Linked DNA regions of Macaca mulatta. The main gene of each other region encodes a partner of the protein of the gene in region 4 in a complex. Links are inferred from orthologs where the notes say so. Each region holds a gene or a part of one and is shown on either strand. Other genes may lie near its edges.

What was found.
Region 1: the proteins of PPP2R2A (region 4) and PABIR1 are in contact, whole or in part, in a cryo-EM structure (PDB 8SO0), measured with the Homo sapiens proteins. The link is inferred for Macaca mulatta from reciprocal best matches to the Homo sapiens genes PPP2R2A and PABIR1. Residues at the interface, in NP_002708.1 of Homo sapiens: Phe84, Leu87, Lys88, Ser89, Leu90, Tyr178, His179, Asp197, Met222, Glu223, Leu225, Thr226, Glu227, Val228, Tyr337, Asp340, Phe343; in NP_612206.5 of Homo sapiens: His81, Ser82, Ser83, Arg84, Leu85, Ile88, Lys89, Glu92, Arg99, Glu100, His103.
Region 2: the proteins of PPP2R2A (region 4) and ARPP19 are in contact, whole or in part, in a cryo-EM structure (PDB 8TTB), measured with the Homo sapiens proteins. The link is inferred for Macaca mulatta from reciprocal best matches to the Homo sapiens genes PPP2R2A and ARPP19. Residues at the interface, in NP_002708.1 of Homo sapiens: Lys18, Gly19, Ala20, Asp23, Asp24, Asp29, Ile31, Thr45, Asp47, Gly49, Arg51, Val53, Phe55, Val73, Thr76, Gln78, Glu81, Pro82, Glu83, Phe84, Leu87, Lys88, Ser89, Glu91, Glu93, Tyr178, His179, Asp197, Leu198, Asn221; in NP_001293124.1 of Homo sapiens: Lys42, Pro43, Gly44, Ser46, Phe48, Leu49, Arg50, Arg52, Leu53, Lys55, Lys58, Tyr59, Phe60, Asp61, Lys75, Pro93, Asp97, Leu98, Pro99, Pro103, Leu105, Val106, Ala107, Ser108, Lys109, Leu110, Ala111.
Region 3: the proteins of PPP2R2A (region 4) and IER5 are in contact, whole or in part, in a cryo-EM structure (PDB 8UO5), measured with the Homo sapiens proteins. The link is inferred for Macaca mulatta from reciprocal best matches to the Homo sapiens genes PPP2R2A and IER5. Residues at the interface, in NP_002708.1 of Homo sapiens: Glu91, Ile92, Glu93, Glu94, Asp116, Tyr178, His179, Asp197, Leu198, Met222, Leu225, Thr226, Glu227, Val228, Thr230, Ser247, Phe280, Phe281, Glu283, Ile284, Ser287, Cys334, Tyr337, Glu338, Asn339, Asp340, Phe343, Lys345; in NP_057629.2 of Homo sapiens: Ala7, Arg9, Ile10, Ile13, Ser14, Lys17, Arg25, Gly26, Lys29, Leu30, His31, Lys32, Leu34, Leu35, Val36, Leu38, Val39, Leu40, Arg41.
Region 5: the proteins of PPP2R2A (region 4) and RBL1 are in contact, whole or in part, in a cryo-EM structure (PDB 9C6B), measured with the Homo sapiens proteins. The link is inferred for Macaca mulatta from reciprocal best matches to the Homo sapiens genes PPP2R2A and RBL1. Residues at the interface, in NP_002708.1 of Homo sapiens: Lys88, Tyr178, His179, Asp197, Leu198, Met222, Glu223, Glu224, Leu225, Thr226, Glu227, Val228, Ser247, Arg278, Ser279, Phe280, Phe281, Ser282, Glu283, Ile284, Ser287, Tyr337, Phe343; in NP_002886.2 of Homo sapiens: Ser615, Pro616, Leu617, Met618, His619, Pro620, Arg621, Val622, Val625, Arg626, Ser629, Leu632.

What each region holds. Positions count from the first base shown.
Region 1 is NC_133420.1:99,818,823-99,823,637, reverse strand, and holds the start of PABIR1 (PPP2R1A-PPP2R2A-interacting phosphatase regulator 1), read right to left. Parts: upstream 2,998-4,815; 5' UTR 2,994-2,997; coding exon 2,004-2,993; 3' UTR 1-2,003. UniProt on the Homo sapiens protein: Acts as an inhibitor of serine/threonine-protein phosphatase 2A (PP2A) activity. Inhibits PP2A activity by blocking the substrate binding site on PPP2R2A and the active site of PPP2CA.
Region 2 is NC_133412.1:29,847,093-29,851,957, reverse strand, and holds the end of ARPP19 (cAMP-regulated phosphoprotein 19), read left to right. Parts: intron 1-567; coding exon 568-738; 3' UTR 739-4,229; downstream 4,230-4,865. UniProt on the Homo sapiens protein: Protein phosphatase inhibitor that specifically inhibits protein phosphatase 2A (PP2A) during mitosis. Inhibition of PP2A is enhanced when ARPP19 is phosphorylated.
Region 3 is NC_133406.1:38,498,011-38,502,714, reverse strand, and holds IER5 (immediate early response gene 5 protein), read right to left. Parts: upstream 3,041-4,704; 5' UTR 2,835-3,040; coding exon 1,851-2,834; 3' UTR 902-1,850; downstream 1-901. UniProt on the Homo sapiens protein: Plays a role as a transcription factor. Mediates positive transcriptional regulation of several chaperone genes during the heat shock response in a HSF1-dependent manner. Mediates negative transcriptional regulation of CDC25B expression.
Region 4 is NC_133413.1:28,096,147-28,100,298, reverse strand, and holds part of PPP2R2A (serine/threonine-protein phosphatase 2A 55 kDa regulatory subunit B alpha isoform), read right to left. Parts: intron 2,788-4,152; coding exon 2,622-2,787; intron 1-2,621. UniProt on the Homo sapiens protein: Substrate-recognition subunit of protein phosphatase 2A (PP2A) that plays a key role in cell cycle by controlling mitosis entry and exit. Involved in chromosome clustering during late mitosis by mediating dephosphorylation of MKI67.
Region 5 is NC_133415.1:89,864,738-89,868,889, reverse strand, and holds part of RBL1 (retinoblastoma-like protein 1), read left to right. Parts: intron 1-1,083; coding exon 1,084-1,248; intron 1,249-3,470; coding exon 3,471-3,641; 3' UTR 3,642-4,152. UniProt on the Homo sapiens protein: Key regulator of entry into cell division. Directly involved in heterochromatin formation by maintaining overall chromatin structure and, in particular, that of constitutive heterochromatin by stabilizing histone methylation.

The DNA.
Region 1 (4,815 bases), on a different chromosome or scaffold from region 4:
ACTCAGGCAAAAACTTAAGGCAAAATCAGGGGCAACAGATAGAGAAGGGAAGAAATTTGAGATTCATTTCAGAAGTTGACAGGACTTGGTGATTAAGCTAATCCAACAGAGAAAAGGAAAAGTCAAAGATGCTTCCATGATTTCTAGTTTAGGAAATTAGTGATGACATCAATTGAGATAATGCAAGAATAGGTGAAGTGAGAAGATTAACAATTTCTGTGTTGAAGATAATGAAGTTTAAATACCTCTGGAGGCAGGGCAAGTTACCCAACAAGAAGTCAGACTATTTAAGTTTGAATTTGAAGAACAAGGTTGAGAATGGGAGCACATGAACACTATTACTCAGAAGAGAGAATTTTAAACCTGTGGACACAGTCTTACCCTCAATGCAATTTCACTCCATCTTGAGGCAACCATCAAGAGTTGACCAGTTCCATTTATTTTCATAGTCGTAAAAATTCCACAAAATTGTTAGTCTCTGTAAGTGATAACTTTAAAAAGTCAGAGCTTTTGTCTTGTTCTGAGTCATTTTTCCCCTTTCCTCTTTGTATGCCATTCTTTCTGTCAAACTATCTAGTTAAGGAAGCTATATGAGGTATAAGGAAGAATATTAAGAAAATTTTGTTATTCTTATTGTCTTAATTGTAAAGGCAAAGAAAAGAACATTCGACTATTCTACCTTTAGCAAAACCTAAGTTAAATAATGATTTACCTATGTGACTCTCCACTAATTTTCTCTTGCAAATCATCACCCCTTAATTAATGGACATCCCCAAGGCAGTCAACTCAAGCTGTAGCTTTAACCACAGAGGTTAAACAATTCAGTCCTGTTGTTGCTGTCAGAAATCCAAGTTACACTGTACCTTTGTCTAATCAATGGTGCCCTACTTTGGTGGGAGATGAAGGAAGGGACCTGTTGGCAAGGAAACAGCTGCTTCCTTCCTGAACAAGGGAAAACCAGTAAGGTGACAGATGGGCAGAGCAGAAAAGTAGCCAAAAATTGCTCTGGCTCCTGGTTGGCAATAATTTTTGGAACTGAGGCACAACTGAATATTTTAAAGTATATCAACAATTGAGAGAGAGTATTGTTTACCTGGGCGCGCCAAAGTTCAACAAGCCTTCCCACACATTTTCTACATTTGAAAAACTTTTACGTTTGCAGTAGTACAAAGAGCTTAGCCTTAGCCTATGTACAGTGGGCAAAGACTGCAAGGCACTGTCCCATTTCACTTTAGGATTGCACCCAAGCAAATGCACTTTCTGGTTAAAAAAAAAAAAAAAAAAAGGAAAATTTTTATTTTCTCTATAATATAGTTGTATGACTGACTAGAATTACTATTAAAATCTCATTAAAAATGTTTTCCTTAAAAGTTTACTTTTATATACTTAATTTGAAAGGATTTGTTGCAAACTTTTATAATTTGTTCTCTAATCATTCCCCCTCCCACCCACTTCGGTACCCAGAAAACTAAATATCCAAGAATTCCTGGGTAAAACAGACAACCACTAGATTGATATAACTAACGTATTTTTTTTTTAAGCTGTATAGTTCTTCATCAAATGGAAATCGGCAAACCACTGAAAATAACATTAAAAATTAGTGTGGGCATGAAGTATGGAATTTTAAACATCAGTTTACTATGCTGATTAAGTCAACATTTATATTTTCATCAGAACTTAATAATCCCATAAATAAATAGAGCTCTCAATTATTTAAAAAAATCAAGGGATAACATATGTATTTAGACATAGTAGCAGCGTAAAGATGTATGCTTCAACACACTTATTGGGGAAACGTCTGAAAATATTACTACACTGAATTCAAAGGTATCCGCAGGAACCTGACATAGAAGTTCTCTAGAATAACATCATTTCAGGAAATTTCAAAAAAGAAAAGGGGTCGAATAGGAAATAGCCTCAAATTAATTGACAAAGTTCAGTGTTTGCCCCAACTTGATTATTCTCTCTCTCCACTGCAAAAAGAAAGTCTCAGGATGAGTGAATCACTTAGACGAAAGTTCATCTAGTGGAATAAATGGAGAAGCCGCTTGGGCAGGTGACACAGGAGAGTCGGTGGTAGTGCTGACTTTCGCTGGTGAGTTACAAGAAGATCCGGCACTGCTGCTGTTTCCATCAAGGGTATCCGAAGATACACACACACCAGGATCTGACAGCTGTGCAACGTCAGAAGAAAGCATGTTGGTGATGCCCTGGAAAAATCTCTTTGGCTGATAATCAGTTTCCATTTCACATTTTCTTTTCAATGGTCCAAGAACACTTGGTCTAATGCAATTGATGGGGCTCTGGCTTCTCCGTGTGGTAAATCGGGTCGTTGGGCTGGGAATAGGGCTTGGAGGCAATCCGTTGCTACTTACAAAACTTTGCAAGGATGGCGAAAAACACTGCTTCCCAATTCCCCGAGTGGGTGACGGTGCCGGTGACACAGGAATGAAATCGATGCGCTTGGGGGAGGCGGATTTCTCCACGTCGTTGTCACTCAGGCTGAAACTTTCCTCCCAGGAGTGGCTTATCTGCATTGCGGTCTGCACCTCCCGTTCGTGGACCGTCTCTCGGTTGATCAAGTCCATACCCTCTTCTTGTTTGATCTGGTGCAAGCGGCTGCTGTGCATGCGGACAGGGGAGGCCGGTAGCAGCAGGCCGTGGCGGCTCGGGAACGTTGTGCTGTTCCGCCTGGCGCTCGGCGCCTCGGCCTGGAACACCGGCGAAGTGTCACTGAGGCCGTGGATCAGGGGGGCGCTGTTAGACCTCCTGAGGCCCCCGCCGCCGCCGCTGCCGCCGCCCTCCGCCGGGCTCCCGCCCGTACCCGGAGGCAGCTCCAGGTCTAGCTCCATCTTCTCCTGAGCCATGTCGGGGGCAGGGAGGCGGGGGAGGTGCTCAGTCAGGGACCTAGGATTCCCATTCCCCGCAGTCCAGGGCCGCCGCCGCTGCCGCCGCCACCGAGAATCTGTCAGCGGGCTGGCCCCTCTGCGCATGCGTACCCCTTCGCGCAGGCGCTCGCGATGTCCGTCCTCGAGGCGCCTGCTTTATGCGTAATATCTGCGCGGCAGTGGTAGGGGAGGGGCGAGGAGTAGTCGGGCCGCTAGTCCGTATATTCCTTCAGCAAATAGCTATTGAGCGCAAACTGGCATTGACGAACGTCAATAAGATTGTCATATTCTGGAGTACATATTTATAAAACGAACAAAGCCCTGAAAGAGAGGCCCATGGTGATGTGGGGCTGTATGACGGGGAGTGGCGCTTGCGAATCAGGGAGGGCTTCCTCGAGGAAGGAACAGTGTCCTGAAATCCGAAGAAGTGGGCGAAATGGGTGCGATGTAAAACTTCGCAGGAAGCGGGAAGCAAGGGCGACCCAGCCAGGTGGCAGGCGGGAACCAGGAGGGGAGGAGAAAGTGTGGCCTGGAGTGGAGAGTGAGGGCTGGCGTGACGTGAGGTGGTGGACCAGACCACATTCTGGTCTTTATCTTGAGAACAATGAAAACTTAAAGGGTTTTCAAGCATGGGTATAATAGCAACTGAAAAGCTCACTGGCCTGCAGTCTGGAGAACAAATACTGGGAGATTAAAACCTTACAGAAAAAAGGCCAGAGAGGATGGTAATTTGCACTAAGGTGACAGTGTGGAAGTGGAGATGGAGAGAAAAGTAAATGAGAACTGTTTAGGTTAGGGGAAAAAGCCAAAACCGGGGATGGTACTGATACTGATTTACAGTCATAGTTCCAGCACAAGCATATGTGTGAAGTATGAAGGATTAAAGGAAAACCAGTAGGTCCTCACATTTTAAAAATAAAAACACTATTCTTGGCTCATGTAATTAATATGAAACCTTGATAGCTCATTAAAAGTGAGTTTATTTGTTCATTTATTCAGTCAAGGTTTTTTTTTTTTTTTTCCAGCATACTTACTATGTGCCAAACACTGCTAGGAAATGGGCCCTAGTCTGAGAACTTTTAATTCTTACTGAGGGGAAAATACAGAAATAAACGCAGGCTATTTTCAGATAGTGGTAAAGCCTTAGGAAAAACAAGATGGTGTGATGGAGCACTACTGATAGAAGGCAGCGGACAATTAGAGCTGAGATCTAAATGACAAGCAGCAGCAAGTCACGTGGACATCTGGGGAATGAGTATTCCAAGCAGAGAGAATAGCAAGTGCTAAGGCCCGAGGCAGCCATGAGTTTGTTGAGTAAGCGGAAAAAGAAAGAAGGGCAGTGCTGCTGAAGCATAAGAGCGGCGAGTGTTAGCAGAGGGTAAGAGTTGGATCTCATTCTGAGTATGATGAAAAGCCACTGGAGGGTTTTAAGCAGGGGAATGATATTATCTGGTTTATGTTTTAAATATCACTTAGGCTCTGTGGAAAACAGGCTGAAAGAGGACCACAGTGGAGGCAGAAGGATGAATTCAGGGCCTATGGCAACAATACAGGTAAGATTCTTGGACTAGGGTTGTAGCAGTGTCAATGGGGAGAAGTAGAGAGACTGAGGCTATGTGTTGAGTTAGAACCAATAGGATTTGCAGATGGATTAAATTTAGATTGTGAAAGAAATAGATTATTCAAAGGGGACTCATAGCTTGTTTTATTTAAACTGGTGAGATGGTAGTATTATTTACTGAGAGAGGAAAAGAGCACATTTAGAGCTGTAGAAATTAAGAGATCTGAAGCAGAAGAACAGAAGGTAGAAAGAACCAACATTTTCTAAGTGCCTACTCCCTGCTAGGTACTTTAAACACTCCATAATCCCACTTAATCCTCACTGCGTAGATATTGTTATGCTCATTTTGTGAAGGAATGATTGAAG
Region 2 (4,865 bases), on a different chromosome or scaffold from region 4:
AGAATGGTTTAAGAAAGCCTGAAGGGGGAGGTTCTTTTTTTTGTTTGTTTTTGGTTTTGGTTTTTTTTTTTTTTTTGAGACAGTCTCACTCTGTTGCCGAGGCTGGATGGAGTACAGTGGGGTAATCTCAGCTCACTGCAGCCTCCACCTCCCAGGTTCATGTGACTCTCATGCCTCAACCTCTGGAGTAGCTGGAATTACAGGTGTGCGCCACCACACCCAGCTAATTTTTGTGGGGTTTTTTTTGTTTTTTTTTTTTTTAGTAGAAATGGGGTTTTTCCATATTGGCCAGGCTGGCCTGGAACTCCTGACCTCAAGTGGTTCGCCTGCCTTGGCCTCCCAAAGTGTTGGGATTTCAAGAATGAGCCACTGTGCCTGGTCTGAAGGGGGGCTTCTCAGCTGTTGACCTTATGCTGGAACTCAGTACAGAGACTATTTCGTCTAATTAATATTCCTGTTTAAATTTTTTTAGACCAACCTTATACTGACAGTATGGGGTTGCATCGACATCTTAAATCAGTAATTGCTAAGCTCTAATCTGAATTGTTCTTTGTTTTTTACTTATAGCAAAAATATTTTGATTCTGGGGATTACAACATGGCTAAAGCAAAAATGAAGAACAAGCAACTTCCTGCTGCAGCTCCAGATAAGACGGAGGTCACTGGTGACCACATTCCCACTCCACAGGACCTTCCTCAACGGAAACCATCCCTTGTTGCTAGCAAGCTGGCTGGCTGATTAAAAGGCTGAACTGCATGAATCTGCTAATTCCCATTATTTCTCCTTAATATGTTACTTATCTACTTTTTATTTCCTTTCATTCACTAAGTCATTTGAGACTGACAGCTTTGCAGGTAGCAGTAGTGTGTGCTGCTATTGTAGAATATACATGTGTAGAGTTTTTGATTAGTTTAACAGTGCACTGGTGAAGAGGACATGTTAGAGCAACATAAGTAAACTACTTGAAAAAAATTGTATATATTACCTAACTCCTAGTGTAGTACTGGTTCTAACAAGTAACAAGCAAGTTTTAAAATTTTAATGTTTTGGCTTTCATTACTTCATCTTAATTATAGCTTTGTATGTTACTCTTATTTAATATAATCTCTATTGTATTGATTTCTTCCGTATTTACCTTTTGGATTTTGTAAAACAGAAGTTTAAGACCACAAGTTAGAAGAAAGGTCACATATTTCAAACACAACTAGATGGGGCTCTGAAAGATTTGTATCTCTGTGCTTGAACTTGAATGGCCTTAAACCTGTTTCAGCTTTAACAGTAGAATTTTACTTGGGCAATATTTGCCCATTCTGGTGTAACTTATGTGACTCTAGTGCTTAACAGCTGCCATTGAAGCTAATAATTCATTTCTGTAGAGTTAGAATACCTTTTGTTGTTGAAGATGTGAATGAAGTATGCATGTGCATTGACTGTTGAATTCACTTTTGTGCCATTTTTGTAAATACAGTAGTTTTGCACAACCTCTCACAAATGTCTGTATTAATTTCACATACTTAAAAAGTAGATAATGTGCCAACCAGAAGCACAAGAGTTCCTACACAAAACTCTGTAAATCATCATAGCTTTTGTATAATGAGTAGTTTACAATCTCGGGCTTATAGAATACCAAACTGAAATCTTAGTTCAATCTGCCATAGACTTAAGCTTTTCATTTGTTACTAATATCCATGACATTCAGTGGCCTTGTGCAAATACGATATGTTGCTTAGGCATATCTTTTGTCCTATGCAGAACCTTTCATTTTGATTTTTATGAAAGTTGCAATTCATGTAATTTATATGAACTTTTTAAATGTAGAAACTTTTTACTTCCGCACTCAATTTTGGAGACACTAGAGTAAAAGGCTTCAGTACTCTGCATTCCATGCCCCCTGCTACCTGTTTTTCCCCCTTTGTTCTTTGACTCAAATGGTATTGAGCTGTTTGTTGTATATGGAAGCATAGGTGTCTATATCCTTACTCTTTTATGTAACACAATAATGGCATTTTCCTTCTAATTTCTCAGTTGTTAACCTCTCTCTCTCTTTTTTTTTTTTTTTAAGATAGGGTCTTGCTGTGTCACCTCAGCTCTAGTGCAGTACTGCAATCATAGCTCACTGCAACCTTACTCCTAGGCTCAAGTTAACTATTCTTGATCCTGTATTATTACTAATATTCTACAATTGTTTAAATAAAAGGAACTTCATAATGAAACAGTTCGGAATACTGGCTCAAGAACCTATGTCAAAATGAGCTGAATTTTGGTAAATTATTTTAGGAATTATGACAAGCTAATTGAATTAGGCTTTTGACAATGAGAGTAATTTACATGACAGGTAAAACTCCTATTAAAAATGTTTAGATATTTGCTTCTGTAGATGTCACTTTAGTAAAATACCAATTTAGTTTTACTTGTGGCTTATCTAGTTAGTAAGACCTTAACAGACTTTATTGGGACAAGTTTACTGCTCTTGTAGGAGCTCCTCTCACAAGTAGTTGTAATGCTGTAGCATGATACTCAGGATCAGCAGCTTGAGATGTTACTGTTTTTCTCTTCGTCTTCGACTTGCAGAGAGCCTCCCCTTTTTGGATCCAGGCATCTTTTCTGAATCCTGGTTCCATCAGTATACCTGCTCTCCTGTGATCTCAAATCATACTCAATGGTGCCTCGAACATAGCACCTTCGGTTAAAGGCTGCCTAGTGCTCTGAGGAAAGCTTGCTGATTATCTTCCTTGCTGATTATCTTCACCCCAAAAGGCAGAAAAGCAACACAGTCACTCCTGTGCTCATTTGTAATTGTAAAGATCAGCTATATATATATTTGTAACGAGAGCAAGTATATACTCATTATAGGATCAATTTAAGAAGTTTAAAATATCCCAGAGTAGAATTTCTATATCTAGTCTTTTGGTTTTTTCATGAATATTTGCGAGTAATTACCATTAAATTCACACATGAAAGACTAATCTGAAAGATCAGATAGACCGTGTTATTCCTGACCATGATAGAACTGCTCCTGTGGTTCGGGACAAGTAACAAAACAACTGCTTGAGTTTTGTTTGTAAAATACACTATTAATATTTGACCTACCTCAAAACGTATTGAGGATCTGTGAAATGCTAAGTGCCCAAAATAAAATATTGCTGATTGTCTTTTTATTAAAAGTAAATTTCCTCATTAAGCCAACCTGCCTTCTGTAAGTCACAGTGCTTAAATCTCAGGACTTTTCATTAGGAGAGACCTGTCGTTACGGATTTGTAGATATAATTGCTTAGCCTCCATTATTGGTGCTTGGGATAGAGAGGTTTTAGATTTTTCTGTTTTTTTGTTCTGCCTCAAAGCTCAGTTTATTGAAGACATTTGTAAGCTATTGTGTCACCACTTCAATCAAGATTTTGACTAGTGAGCTTAATTGTCCATTTCTTATTATTTCAAAGTTACAGTCTGAGAAATGGCTAATCTTAATAACTGTCCTATCATAAATTAATGTTGGAATAAACTGAAGTTGATGATAAATACTTCATGAAAACTCAAGTCTGAAATAAATTACTTGTTTTATGTCCAATAGCTACTACATTTGATAGAACAGTTTTGAGGAACATTTCATTCTTGAACGCAACATCTGACATGGTTCTCAGCAAATTGGAATAGTAAGGATTATTGGGTTGTTTTGATGAGTGGAAGCAGCATGTTTGTAGCATACAAGTTATTCAATAATCTTGTGCTGATGACCTAAAAATATGTCTTAACCATCTAGGAAAGCCTGGTGAAGCCTTTACTTGTTACTACTTCAACAGTTGGAATTAGTTGCTCTTTTTACTTGATGAAACAAAACTATACCTCTGAATATTTATGGATACTTTTTACTAAATCAGGTTTGTGTTCTTAATCCAAATTACTAAAGTTTTATGGAAGCTGAAATGTAATACAGTAGTATCCCCTTATCTGCAAGAGATACATTCCAAGACCCCTAGTGGATGCCTGAAACCTCAGATAGTACTGAACCCTTTATCGACTATGTTTTTCAATCTGACAACCAAGGTGGCTACTAAGCGACTAAGGGGCAGGTAGTATACAGTGTGGATAAGCAGGACAAAGGGATGATTCACATCGCAGGCAGGACAGAGCAAGAGATCATGAGATTTCATCACTCGGGATGACTTGTGATTTATTTTATTCTTTTCTGAGATGGAGTCTCACTCTGTTGCCTAGGCTGGAGTGCAGTGGTGCAATCTCAGCTCACTGCAACCTCCACCTCCTGAGTTCAAGCAATTCTCCTGCCTCAGTCTCCCAAGTAGCTGGGATTACAGGCGCCTGCTACCATGCCCAGCTAATTTTTGTATTTTTAGCAGAGATGGGGTTTCACCATGTTGGCCAGGCTGGTCTCGAACTCCTGACCTCAGGTGATCCACCCGCCTTGGCCTCCCAAAGTGCTGGGATTATAGGCGTGTGCCACAGTGCCCAGCCAGCTTGTGATTTAATACATGAATTGTTTATTTCTGGAATTTTCCACATATTTTTGGACCAAGGTTGCCTCGGGTAACTACAGAAAGTGAAATTGCAGATAAAGGGTATTACTGCTCCTGTGCTCTAAAATTGGTGTTTGGGTGATCAGGAGCAGGTAGCCAATGGGAAGAGCACTTCTGAGTGATACCTAAAGCAGTTTCTTTGGTGGCCTTTTCACATTCTCCAATGTTCAAGCATATTTTCCATTTTCTCTTTCACCTCATTTTGCCTCGCCATCCCCCATCCCTGCTTATTTCTTAAGCCCATCGATGGCACTCATTAAATTGTGTTTAGGGCTAATGAACCATTGTTCCTTAATATTGTTTTCAATATGCCACAATTTAGGACACATTTAAAAT
Region 3 (4,704 bases), on a different chromosome or scaffold from region 4:
TAGAAACCAGCACCACCTTTTAAAGTCCTGGCAACTGTACTGTATTTTAAACACCATTCCCTAATTGATTTGCTTCTGAAATAGATTATTGAATACCTTTCAAACACTGAACATGAAGAGACAAACAGCTCTTAATGGCAGTGATTTTAGTAAAATCGATGCATGTTTTGGCTATCATCATCTAAGTGTCTACCATGACCAAACACTGATGTCACCATTTGAGTAACAAAACAAATCAGGAAGTTTTGCTAAATGAGAATTAAAGTTGCCCAGCCCTCCTTCCTTATCTGGTTTGATGCAAGCAATTTCCCTCTCACCAATACATTTACTTTCTAGATATAAGAGAAAAATGGAAAATTTACATCCTGACATCCACTGTAATGCAGAGGTGGACCTGACAATTTGGACAAGTCAGTCTCTTTCATCTTCCTATGTCAGTTCGAATGGGCTTTTAAGGTAAACTATCTAAACTTTTTTTTTTTCAATTACAAAGCTAAAAGATGACCCATATTAACAGCTTAACAGGAAACAAAGTTTTGCTGAAAAACATTTTTGCAGATAAGCAGGGCTTCAAAAGCTGATGGTTAAATTACTTAATAATATATACCCACATATTGGGTGACAAATTGGTCTAAACCGACCTTAGAAAAGCCAGTTGTAGCGGTAGGTTTCAAGAACCTGGCAGGTCGCTGATATTAGTATCTAATAGCATTCCTCTGATCTAGGAGGAAAAATTAAACGTGTCTCTCTTGATACTTAGTGGAGTCAGTAAACAATGTTCTCAGTCTGCGAATGACTGATATTAAGAACCACACCTTCAATTTTCTAGCCCAGGCCCTGGTTTCCCTCCTCCCACTTCCCTCCCAACCCAGGCAGGTTATTGCAGACAAGCAGGCAGTTACGTTGCTTCAAAATATTTAATACGTGTTAGACACGTAGAAGTTACATTTTTATACAAAAATCAATACAACGAAGGAGAAAATACTGTACAAAAACCTTATCAGCTCCCCCAACCTTTATATAACAAAGACTGGAGTCACCATATCTACAAAACCATAAGGTCTTTCCACTTCGGGCTTCTGTCTGTAAACTTTCATTAAACACTTTTTAAAAGCACTGTGTAGTAGTTCTGACCTAGAGCTTTTAAAAATATATCTTTTCTCTATAAACTCCATTATTTCCAAGCTTGAACTCTTCTGTGAAGTTCAAGCTTTTTCTCCCCTGCGGGGAAGCAAAGGACGGTTAATATGCCCCTTTCCTAGAGTAATCACAGGATATAAACGTTTCTTCATTGGGAGAGAAAGGTGGGGAGGGACAGAAGGAATCCAAGTCTGTGCTGCTGCCTAAATCCCTCTCGTCTTAGGAAATCCTGTGCGGAAACGCCACTCCTGGCCCTGAAGCGGGTCTAGCTTTCCGGTGAGGGGTGGGTGTAAAGTCCCTCCCTCCCCGGAGAACGAATGGGGAACTCCCCGGCCCAAACCTTTTAGCCGCTTCCTTCTCCACGCAGCCGGCAGAGGAAAGTCCCTGTCTGCCCCCAATCTCTTAAGCCCTGGGGAAGGAGTGGTGCATTCCAGAACAAAATAGTCTTAATGCCACAAGACAAACTTACATACACAGACATACACAAACACAAAAAGTTAAAGATCGTCCTCTTCCAATGAGCCTCAAGCTCCCAGGTCTCCAGAAAAGCCAGATGCGCCCGGGGGCAGTTTGCGATGCCCAGCGGCAACCAGTCTGCCCAACGCGCTCAGCGGCCGCGGTCTCTGGGCGTCCTCGCAGCCAGCAAGGGCCCGACCCTCACTTCGAGGACGCCCGCTGCTCAACCTCCTCCCCGCATGGGGGCCAAGGGCTCAGAAGGCCACGATGGCTGTGCTCCAGGGGTTCATGTCTCTCAGCACCGGCTTATCGCAGCAGATCTGCCCGGGCTCGGCGGCTTCCGGGCCGCTCTCCTCTCCCTCCTCTTCCTCCCTGCCGCCCCCGGGGCTTTTCCGTAGGAGTCCCGAGAAACTGGAACCGAAGATGCTGATGAGGTTAGCCACGTTCCCGGTCTCCATCTCCTCCGCGTCGTCGTCCTCTCCTCCACTCGGCGGCTGCTCTAAGTTCCGGCGGGGCTTCTTGAGCGGGGTCGAGCCGGGCGCCGGGCAGCCCGCTGGGCCGCCGCCCACCCCCGCCGCGCCGCGCTTCCTGGGGCACACTGCGGGCTGCGCGGGGGGCTCGTCCTCGGCTGGTCGCGGCGCGCAGCAGCAGGCAGTGCGGGGGGTCGCGGCCGGTGTACCCGGCGGGTCCTCCCCGCCTAGGGGGCAGCCGCAGGGGCGGCGCGCGGCAAGCGATCCCTCGGGGAAGACGCCCCAGCCTCCGGCGGGACCCTCGGCTTCTCCGGCCGCCGCCTGGCGCGGCCGCTCCACGCGGCTCCAGGCAGCTTCCGTCGCGTCCGCCTCTCCGCCCTGAAGAACGTCCCCGACTCCGGTCACCGTGGTCACTGGCACCTCGTCCCCTACCCGCGGCGCGTGTGAGACGGAAGGGCGCTCCGGTTGCGGCTCGGTCTCCGGCCAAGAGGCACGGGCGACGGGCGGGGGCGGCTCTCCCCAGCCGGCGGGTGGCCCGGCCGCCGGCTCCCCGGGCTGCTGCTGCGGTGGCGGCGCCGGGATCCCAGCGGGACCGGCCAGGTAGAGGCCGGGGCACGGGTCGCTCAGGTAGACCTGGCGGGCGCTGCGCAGCACCAGCGAGACCAGGAGGTTCTTATGCAGCTTGATGCCGCCGCGCTGGACCCGCGAGTTGTAGATCTTGCCCAGGGAGATGCTGACGATTCGGTGAGCCTCCAGCTTGAACTCCATCCTGCCTCCCCTGCACAGGGCCGTCGGCGCCGGGGTGTTACGTTCGGAAACTGGGAGGGAACGGGAGGCGCAAACAAGTCCGCCCCGTGGGCACACCCTTGATCACCTAAGACTCCGAAGAGAAATGACTCCGGTGACGCGCGCTCACTGCCCCGCAGACCTCTCTACACCAGACAACTACCCCGTTTCGGGTCCGGTAGCTAAACAGGGCAGCCCGGCCGCCCCGCGCCTTATATAGACTCCTCGACCGCCAATCACGAAGGGCCGCCAACCGTTCCGCGGCTGGCCGGCGCGCCCTCGTGCGCCGCGCACGGCCAATCGGAGCCCGAGGAGGGGCGCCAAGGCCCGTTCGAACGTTAGTCCCGCGGAGCAAGCTCTTAAAGGGGGCGACGGATTGCGGGCGCAGACCAGGCCGATGGGGAGTGAGTGTTGGGGACCGTGTTGGGGACCGTGCTCGAGGGCGCTACTGTTTGGAGTTACAGATTCTGGCTTGTGCGATGGCTTGCCGGAACCAAAGCGAACAAAATATTCGAACTTTCTTCCGAGCACGGTGTTGGACTCTGTTCTGCCATAAAGTCCTGATCTTTTCCTGATCAACTCCGCCCTAACCGGCCACGCCACCATTTCCAGGCCCGCCACACCTGTAAGCGATTCCCCTCAACCCTGGCAAAAATAGAGATGGTGGCTATACGCGGCGGAGGACACCCCTGGATAACAAATAGTATTACTGCAAAGTATTTGGCTGTCATTATTTTTGGATGAGCCGCTTTCCCCGCTAGAGTCACATACACTCTTAGCAGCTGTCAGTTCTAACACCAAAGAAAAAGGGGATTCTAAAAGTTTTTGGCTAGGTTCTTGGCTTCTTATCAAGGAATTGTGTCTAGATACAAAGTTACTGGTTGCCCTCTAAAGCCGGCATCTTTCACTTTGTTCTCTAGATTCTGGAACAAAGCCAGTTATCAAATAGGTTAAATGGAAGATGTTACAGGTTCTCCACAATGATTTTTTTCCCATTTCCATTTTTCCATTACAAGGACTGATCAGTCAACCCTTGGAAAAATCGAGCAAGGTCTGAAAATAAAAAGAAAGAAGTCCTGTGTTCCCATGATGATGTCATAATTTCATTTTGTGTCAAGGTAAAAATATAGCGCTAGGGAGTTCCAGAATTTTCTGGTCAGTCAACAATGTAGTCCATCTACTGGTCCTTATATCAGGGCACAATTACCACAGGGTTGCCCAGGGTCCTGGACTGGAAACATGGAGTCACTTCCAGTTAGTTCCACCGAAGCTCCACCACAGACCTGCCTGAGGACTCTGGGTAAATAACCTCAGACCGCTTCAGTGTCTCCACCGCTGAAAAGGGGAAGTCACATACACATCTGCTTTATTGTACAGACGATAAATGACAACTTCTCAGCCACAAACTGAATGAGAAAACTAAGCACTGCTTTCTTGGAGTCCATGTGGAACCCTGGGCCTGATCCTGCCCCAGGGATTGGCCAAGCAATGAATTTATTTAGGAAAAATACCAGTGAAGGGTGGGCTTGATCATGACCAATTGACAATCTCCAGAAGATGTGATGGCTCAGTAGCATTACCTGTGCCCACAACTGATGGTAACTGAGACTGCAGGCTCTGAGACCCAGTTCCTCCCCCCTCTAGGAATTTTCAGCCCATGCAGAGAAAGAGATAAAATAATGACACAAAAATTACAAAACCAAGTAGCATATATTAAGTAATAATGCAAGAATTTTTATCTTGTCTTTTTCTTTGCAAGTTGTTAGTCACTATAAAGCAATGGCTAAGAGCACAGGCTGTGGAGGCCGGCTTCCTGGCTTGGAATCCCAGCTTCTCCGTTCACTTGCTGCAT
Region 4 (4,152 bases):
TGCTTACAGAAAAAACTCACAGAGGCCGGGCGCGGTGGCTCACGCCTGTAATCCCAGCACTTTGGGAGGCCGAGGCGGGCGGATCACAAGGTCAGGAGATCGAGACCACGGTGAAACCCCGTCTCTACTAAAAATACAAAAAAAAAAATTAGCCGGGCGCGGTTGTGGGCGCCTGTAGTCCCAGCTACTCGGGAGGCTGAGGCAGGAGAATGGCGTGAACCCGGGAGGCAGAGCTTGCAGTGAGCCGAGATCGCGCCACTGCACTCCAGCCTGGGCAACAGAGCAAGACTCCGTCTCAAAAAAAAAAAAAAAAAAAAAAAAGAAAAGAAAAAACTCACAGAGAAAAATACACAAAATATAAAAGATATCACTCAGAATCAACAGATGTTGACATTTTTCTCTAAATTTCCTTCTAGTTTTTCAAATATAGTTAAAGTCCTACTCCTCCCATCCTTTTCCCATCATACCCAGACACAACAGTTCCTACGATTGTCATAATCTGCTCTATCCTTCCACATTGGACCCTATTATTAAGCACTATTTTTAGCATTAAAAAATGCAGCCCCCAGTTAGTTGTATTTTACTTAGTGTTAAGAAACAAAAGACAAAAATCTACAATGCATTCTCTAATGTCTTTAAATAAGATTTAATCCACACAAGTTGAAATGGGATTTGCTTCCAAATAACACCGAGGAGAAGAAGGAGGAGAAGGATTTGAGACACAAATTGACCGTGAACTGAGGAGCATCGGAAGTGGATGATGAGCATGCAGGGCTTCACTATACTATTCTCTTGACCTCAGCCTACATTTAAAAAGTCCTCTTTATAAAAAAGCTGACATAGCCCTGTAAGAAATAAACTGCCATGAAACATTCCAATATATAAAATGTTAACAACACACTTCCCTAGGAACATTTATTCTATAAGTAGAAATTATATAAATGGTTTAGTTATGTATCATCTGATGTCAAAGAACAAAATATTTGAAGCTATTTGAAATAACTTAGTTTACCATATAAATTAAAACTGACCCCAGACTAGAAGCTAGCACATGATAGGAGTAAACTGTTCCCTCCACCCATGCTGCTGAGTTACAGGCTTTAAATAGTTACTTCTGTTTATTGTTCTTCTAATAAGGACAAGAGAGGGGAATGCAGTTTATTGTGGAAAGAGAGAAGGCAGAGGGTACGAATCCCAATGGACTGGCTGGGGAGAGCTTTCATGATCAGAAAACTGGGCATCCAAGAGGCGGCCAACACTGATGGCATCAGACATTTGTGAACAGCATTTTTAAGAACTCATACTGTGGACCAAGGGCATCAATTAGATGGAGGAAGTGCTGAATTTCTTCCCCTATTTCATCCCCAAAGTCATTTAAGTTTATATTCTGCAAATGGTTATGGTCTAGGTGTTAAAATTTGCTTTTTAAATTAATAGTGAGGGAATGAGAAAATAGGAGGAGGTTTCCCCTCACCCTAGCACCAACCTCAAAAAAGTTTTAATCACACATTTTTATAGACTACAGCTACCAAGAAACTAAAGTATCTCCTCAGTCACTCTAATGATTCCCTTCAGACTCAAGACTCCAACGAAGTCCAAACAATTCATGGGAAAAGTTTTTTATAAGAACAAAGAAAAAGAACCCAACTTATCATAAAGGATTTCAAATTCTGGTAGAGTCATTACTAACTTTTAATCCTCACTTAACTTTTCTTGGGCCAGGCATGGTGGCTCACACCTGTAATCCCAGTACTTTGGGAGACTGAGGAGGGGGACAGACTGCTTGAGCCCAGGAGTTCAAGACCAGCCTGAGCAACATCGGGAGACCCAATCTCTACAAAAAATGTTTTAAAAAAATTAGCCTGGTGTGGTGGCATGCACCTGTGGGTCCCAGCTACTCAGGAGACTGAGGTGGGGAGATCGAGGTTGCAGTGAGCTGTGATTACACCACTGCACTCCAGCCTAGGCGACAGACATTGTCTCAAAAAACAACAAAAACCTCTCCCTGGGCAAGTAAAACAGTAGGAGAGGAATCTCCTTCCAGCGATGTGGATTGCTGGGAAGAAGGCAATATGCTAATAGGTAGTCAAGTAAGAAGAGTGCTCTGAATGGAGACCATCCTTTGAGTATTATTTTGTATCTGCAGTTAGAAATACTCTGTGTAGAGTTCAGGAACACTTAAAAAGGAGGAATAAATTAACATTTATTGAGCACTTGCACTCACGACATATGTGAAGAGTTACTTAATATTCATAATACTATAATAAAAAATTACTATCTCTACTTCGCTGCTGAGGAAAATTCAATTCAGTGTTAGTAACCTGCCCAAGATTAGGAGACTGAGAAATAGCAGAAATAGTACCTGACCTAAATCCAATGGTATAGCAGCCCATTCTTTTCGCTACAAATTGGGGGTGTAGTAAACAAAAAATTGCTATCTGAGAATCTTTCAGAGAATCTAAAAACTGCAAGTGAACAGTAAAAAAGTAGAGTTTATATTCTGTATAGAAAAAAAGTCCTTTTTAAAATTATCTCTGTTAAATGATTCCTCTCCTAGTCTACAGGATTATGTGCAACAAGTACACACAGTGGGCACATGGAAAGAAAATACATATACTTACCATTGGTAGACAATAAAAACTGAGCAGCATTTTTCTGGGGTAACCACCTAATTTTGTTGATCTTTTCTTCTATTTCTAAACTTTTCAAGTAGTCAAACTCTGGTTCATGGCTCTGGAAGGTGCTGTAAACATTATATTCTCCTCTGCTATGAGACTGGATTTTGTTCTAAAATGAAAACAAAAATATATGGACCATTGTTGAAAAATATTTCAAAATAATCAAATATGTAATCAATTCCAAAGGACCCTGCAAATTCTCGATAGCCCATTAGCTGTGTCTTTATACAATTATATTCTATTTTTTATATTTCTAAAGGCCTTCAAGGATTAAATGAGAAAACTTAAAGGGGAAAAAAGGCTAAATAACACTGAATAAATAAGCTCGATTCATTAGGGAAATAATGATGTTAAATATGGATCAACTGATTGCTTTGATGGTATAGAGGCATACCAATGAAAAAAACTGAGCACCCATAATAAGGGAGTTCATCTAAAGAGTAATGACTAAAGAAAGGCTTGCCCAGAAAGAGCTAGATGAGGCACACCTTCTTTCTCTGCCCACTTTAGGGTCAACTCCCCAATCTGTTACTTAATATGATGTACTGTCTCCTTTTCCTTTCTGATGCCTGCCTTTTGGTTATTTCGCTGCTGAAAGCTTAAAAAAAGGGCTCTTATAAATGAAGGGATCCCATTTGACCCCTGCCTCCCACCCCAAGACTGCTGTTCCAGACAGCTTTGTCACCAATCAAGTCCATATTCAGCACCACCCAGCAATAGCCCCATGCACCCCATCAACTACTACTTACTCGCCTTTAATATGCTTTCTCATCTTATGAACCTGGCACACACTGATGATTAATTTCATTTAGTATTACTTTGAAAGAACATAATTTAAGCTATCTCGTAAAGGGACTACTTATGAACTACTTTGGTTAGCATTAATATCTCAGCAAAAGTGAGAATTATAATATTCAGAATTTCATCTTTTAGCACACGATTAAAAACATTTTCATAAAAAAATTTAAAACTAGTTCAGAGAACCACCTATGGAAAAAGTTTAAATAAAAGAATGAGATTATTATTGTCAACTATTTTAAGTAAAAGTGAGTTATCCAGTGAAATGTTTACGACTTCTTAGCCTATTACTATTCTCCATATCAAAAGGAAACTTCACCGAATCATCTTGAAAGTCTACGTTTTGGGTTGTTTTTTCCAGCAGCCTGACGATCTGGGTTGTTCATTCATGGATGGTTGTATTTAAACCTTTGGACAGCAGTATCAGTTATTAGAGGGCAAGTCTGCCAGTGTTAAGAATGCAGTGTCCCACAAAACGATCCACATACTGGGGACACACAAGGGGTAAAAATCAGACTCAGAGCCTTGGTCTCATCACCATACCCACACACCAAATTAGACAGCCTATTCCATTAACATATATAAATACTCCAGTGTCACCTGAAAGCTCCACATATCTTCTACCTAAAATGACTCACCCAGTCTCACAAAGTTTATCATTACACTTTACAAGGAA
Region 5 (4,152 bases), on a different chromosome or scaffold from region 4:
GGTTCAAGCAATTCTAGTGCCTCAGCCTCCCGAATAGCTCGGATTACAGGCATGTGCCACCACGCCCAGCTAATTTTTGCATTTTTAGTGGAGACAGAGTGTCACCATGCTGGCCACGCTGGTCTCAAACTCCTGACCTCAGGTGATCCACCCACCTCGGCCTCCCAAAGTGCTGGGATTACAAGTGTGAGCCACCACACCCGGCCAGAATTCTTAATACTAGTTATAGGACTTCCTGAAAGATCCAGGAAAATAGGCAGGGCATAGTGGCTCACACCTATAATCCCAGCACTTTGGGAGGCCGAGGTGGGTGGATCACCTGAGGTCAGGAGTTGGAGACCAGCCTGGCCAAGATGGTCATCTCTATTAAAAATACAAAATTAGCTGGGCGTGGTGGCACATGCCTGTAATCTCAGCTACTTGGGAGGTTGAGGCAGGAGAATCGCTTGAACCTGGGAGGCAGAGGTTGCAGTGAGCCTAGATTGCACCATCTTACTCTAGCCTGGGCAACAAGAGCGAGAGATACTTCATCTCAAAAAAAAAAAAAAGATCCAAGAAAATAAATTCTACTTTATCTGTTGTTGTTGTAAAAAAAAAAAAAAAGAAGTAACAGATCTTTTTTTTTTTTTGCTTTTCTCAACCATAAATGAGCTTTTATAGTATAACTGATTCCTAACTAGGAGATATCATAAGAATAAAAATGGCCGGGCGCGGTGGCTCAAGCCTGTAATCCCAGCACTTTGGGAGGCCGAGACGGGCGGATCACAAGGTCAGGAGATCGAGACCATCCTGGTTAACACGGTGAAACCCCGTCTCTACTAAAAAATACAAAAAAAACCTAGCCGGGCGAGGTGGTGGGTGCCTGTAGTCCCAGCTACTCGGGAGGCTGAGGCAGGAGAATGGCATAAACCCGGGAGGCGGAGCTTGCAGTGAGCCGAGATCCGATCACTGTACTCCAGCCTGGGCGACAGAGCTAGACTCCGTCTCAAACAAAAAAAAAAAAAAAAAAAAAGAATAAAAATATGGGATTCAAAAACAAAGAAAAACTTTTATCTAAAAAATCTGACTTTTGGGTTATTTTAGATGGATGCTCCACCACTCTCTCCTTTTCCACATATTAAACAACAGCCAGGCTCACCACGCCGCATTTCCCAACAGCACTCCATTTATATTTCCCCACACAAGAATGGGTCAGGCCTTACACCAAGAAGCACTCTGCTGTACAAGTTCAATGGCAGCCCTTCTAAGGTAAGGTGAATAGGCTAAAAGCTGGATTTCACATTAACAGTCAGTAACTGTTAATCTTGCCTCTTTTTTTGTTTTTGGCCAAGTTTCTACTATACTAATAAAATATGAAATGTTAACTATGGCATGTCTCCTCTCATCAAGAGCAGTATATTCAGTTTGAGGTAGTTTAATCCATTATTATTGACATGGTATTTGTGGAGTTCATTTTGAAAGTCCAGCATGTTTTCCTGTTCAAGCAAGATCTTGAGAAGGGACCAGTAAAGCAACATCTGCAAGTGGTCAGACCTGGGGGATGTCAAGTTGAAAGAAAGGCATTGGAAGTGAAAGTGCATTTGGTAGATGGCACCCAAGATAGGAAGACGTCTGAAAACACAAGCCTCCTCTTATGTACATAGACAACTCTGTGATCATCTCCATCCTTATCCTTGTTGAGTGGTGAAGATGTGATATGGACATGATTGCTGTTTTCAGATACTTCATGGACTGTCAAGCAGATCTGTTCAGTATGTCTCCAGAAGTCAGAATCAGTATAAACTGGAAGAAATTGTAGTGGGGCATATTGTAATTCAGTCCAAATACATTGGCTCCTTCTTATTACTTTCCTATTAAGTTATACAGATGCCTACAGAGTTCTCACTATACTTGACAAAGTTGGCTAAGATAATATACCTGACTGGACACAGTGGCTCAAGCCTATAATCCTAGCACTTTGGGAGGCCAAGGCAGGCGGATTGCCTGATCTCAGGAGTTCAAGACCAGCCTGGGCAACATGGCGAAACCCCATCTCTACTAAAAATACAAAAAATTAGCCAGGCATGATGGTCCGCACCTGTAATCTCAGCTACTCTGCTCAGGAGGCTGAGGCAGGAGAATCGCTTGAGCCCAGGAGGCGGAGGTTGCAGTGAGCCGAGATCACCCCTTTTTCACTCCAGCCTGGGCGACAGAAGAAGACTCTGTCTCAAAAAAAAAAAAAAAATTGAAAAGCATTACTCTAAGGAAGAGGATCTCAAACTGTAGGGAGCTTTAAAATCATTGGGAGGGCTTGTTAAAACAGATTAGGGCTGGTCGCAGTGGCTCACGCCTGTAATCCCAGCACTTTGGGAGGCCGAGGCAGGCAGATCACGAGATCAGGAGTTCAAGACCAGCCTGGCCAACATGGCGAAACCCCGTCTCTACTAAAAATACAAAAATTAGCCAGGCATGGTGGTGGGCACCTATAATCCCAGCTACTCAGGAGGCTGAGGCAGGAGAATCGCTTGAACCCAGTAGGCAGAGGTTGCAGTGAGCTGAGATCGTGCCATTGCACTCCAACCTGGGCGACAAGAACAAGACTTCGTCTCAAAAACAAACAAAAAAAAAACAGATAAGGCCAGGCATGGTGGCTCACCCCTGTAATCCCAGCACTTTGGGAGGCCAAGGTTGGGGGATCACTTGAGGCCGGGAGTTCAAGACCAGCCTGGCCAACATGACAAAATCCTGTCTCTACTAAAAATACAAAAAAATAGCCAGGCATGGTGGCATGTGCCTGTAGTCCCAGCTAGGGAGGCTGAGGCAGGAGAATAGCTTGAGCCCAGGAGGCGAAGCTTGCAGTGAGCCAAGATCATGCCCTGCACTCCAGCCTAGGCAACAGAGAGAGAACCTGTCTCAAAAAATAAAAAAATTATAGATGCTTCTTCTGCTTCTGGTCTGGGTACTACACATCGAGAACTACTATTATACAGTGAATTCAGTTGTTTTGGTTTTGTTTTTGAGACAGGGTCTCACTCTGTTTCCCAAGCTGGAGTACAGTGGCATGATCACTGGTTACTGCAGCCGCAACCTCCCCAGGCTCAGGTGATGCTCCTTAGCCTCCCGAGTAGCTGAGACTACAGGCACAGGCCACCACACCTGCCTAATTTTTGTATTTTTTGTAGAGACCAGGTTTGCCATGTTGCCCAGGCTGATCTCAAACTCCTGGGCTCAAGTGATTGAACCATCTTGGCCTCCCAAAATGCTGGTATTACAGGCCACCACACCTGGCCTTAAATCTAATTTTTAAGCCACCTGAAAAGATTAGTTCAAGCCATCCCTTATGAGGTTGTTCTAAGTTTTAAAAAGAATCCTTATCCCAGTGTGAAGATTTGGATAGAGGATAGAACACAGGAAAAAACAATTCACTTGGTTGTTTGCTGCCATTTCCCTTCTCCCTCTTTTACTCACACACGTTCTCTATTTCTGCACAGAGTTTGAAAGAGATCAACAACATGATAAGGCAAGGTGAGCAGAGAACCAAGAAGCGAGTAATAGCCATCGATAGTGATGCAGAATCCCCTGCCAAACGCGTCTGTCAAGAAAATGATGATGTTTTACTGAAACGACTACAGGATGTTGTCAGTGAAAGAGCAAATCATTAATGTTCTTGCTTCTATGATAAAAGCACTTTCAGATTGTTCTGCAGAAAGTTGGAGCTCTGTCCTTCAAACCTTTTAGCCCTATGGATGGTAAATATTGCTGGATTATAAGAAAAAAATTGCACAAAAATGTGCTTTTTAAAATATTTATCCAAAATGTAATTGACAGAGATGTATTTTGAGTTGGACTGGAAAGGAATATTTTAAGTGCCTTTTAAAAATACTAATAGTCCGGCTAGATGCAGTGGCTCACGCCTGTAATCCCAGGACTTTGGGAGGCCAAGGCGGGCAGATCACCTGAGGTCAGGAGTTTGAGACTAGCCTGACCAACATGGAGAAACCCCATCTCTACTAAAAATACAAAATTAGCCAGGTGTGGTGGCACATGCCTGTAATCCCAGCTACTTGGGAGGCTGAGGCAGAATTGCTTGAACTCAGGAAGCAGAGGTTGTGGTGAGCCTAGGTTGCGCCTCTGCACTTCAGCCTGGGCAACAAGAGTAAAACTCCATCTCAA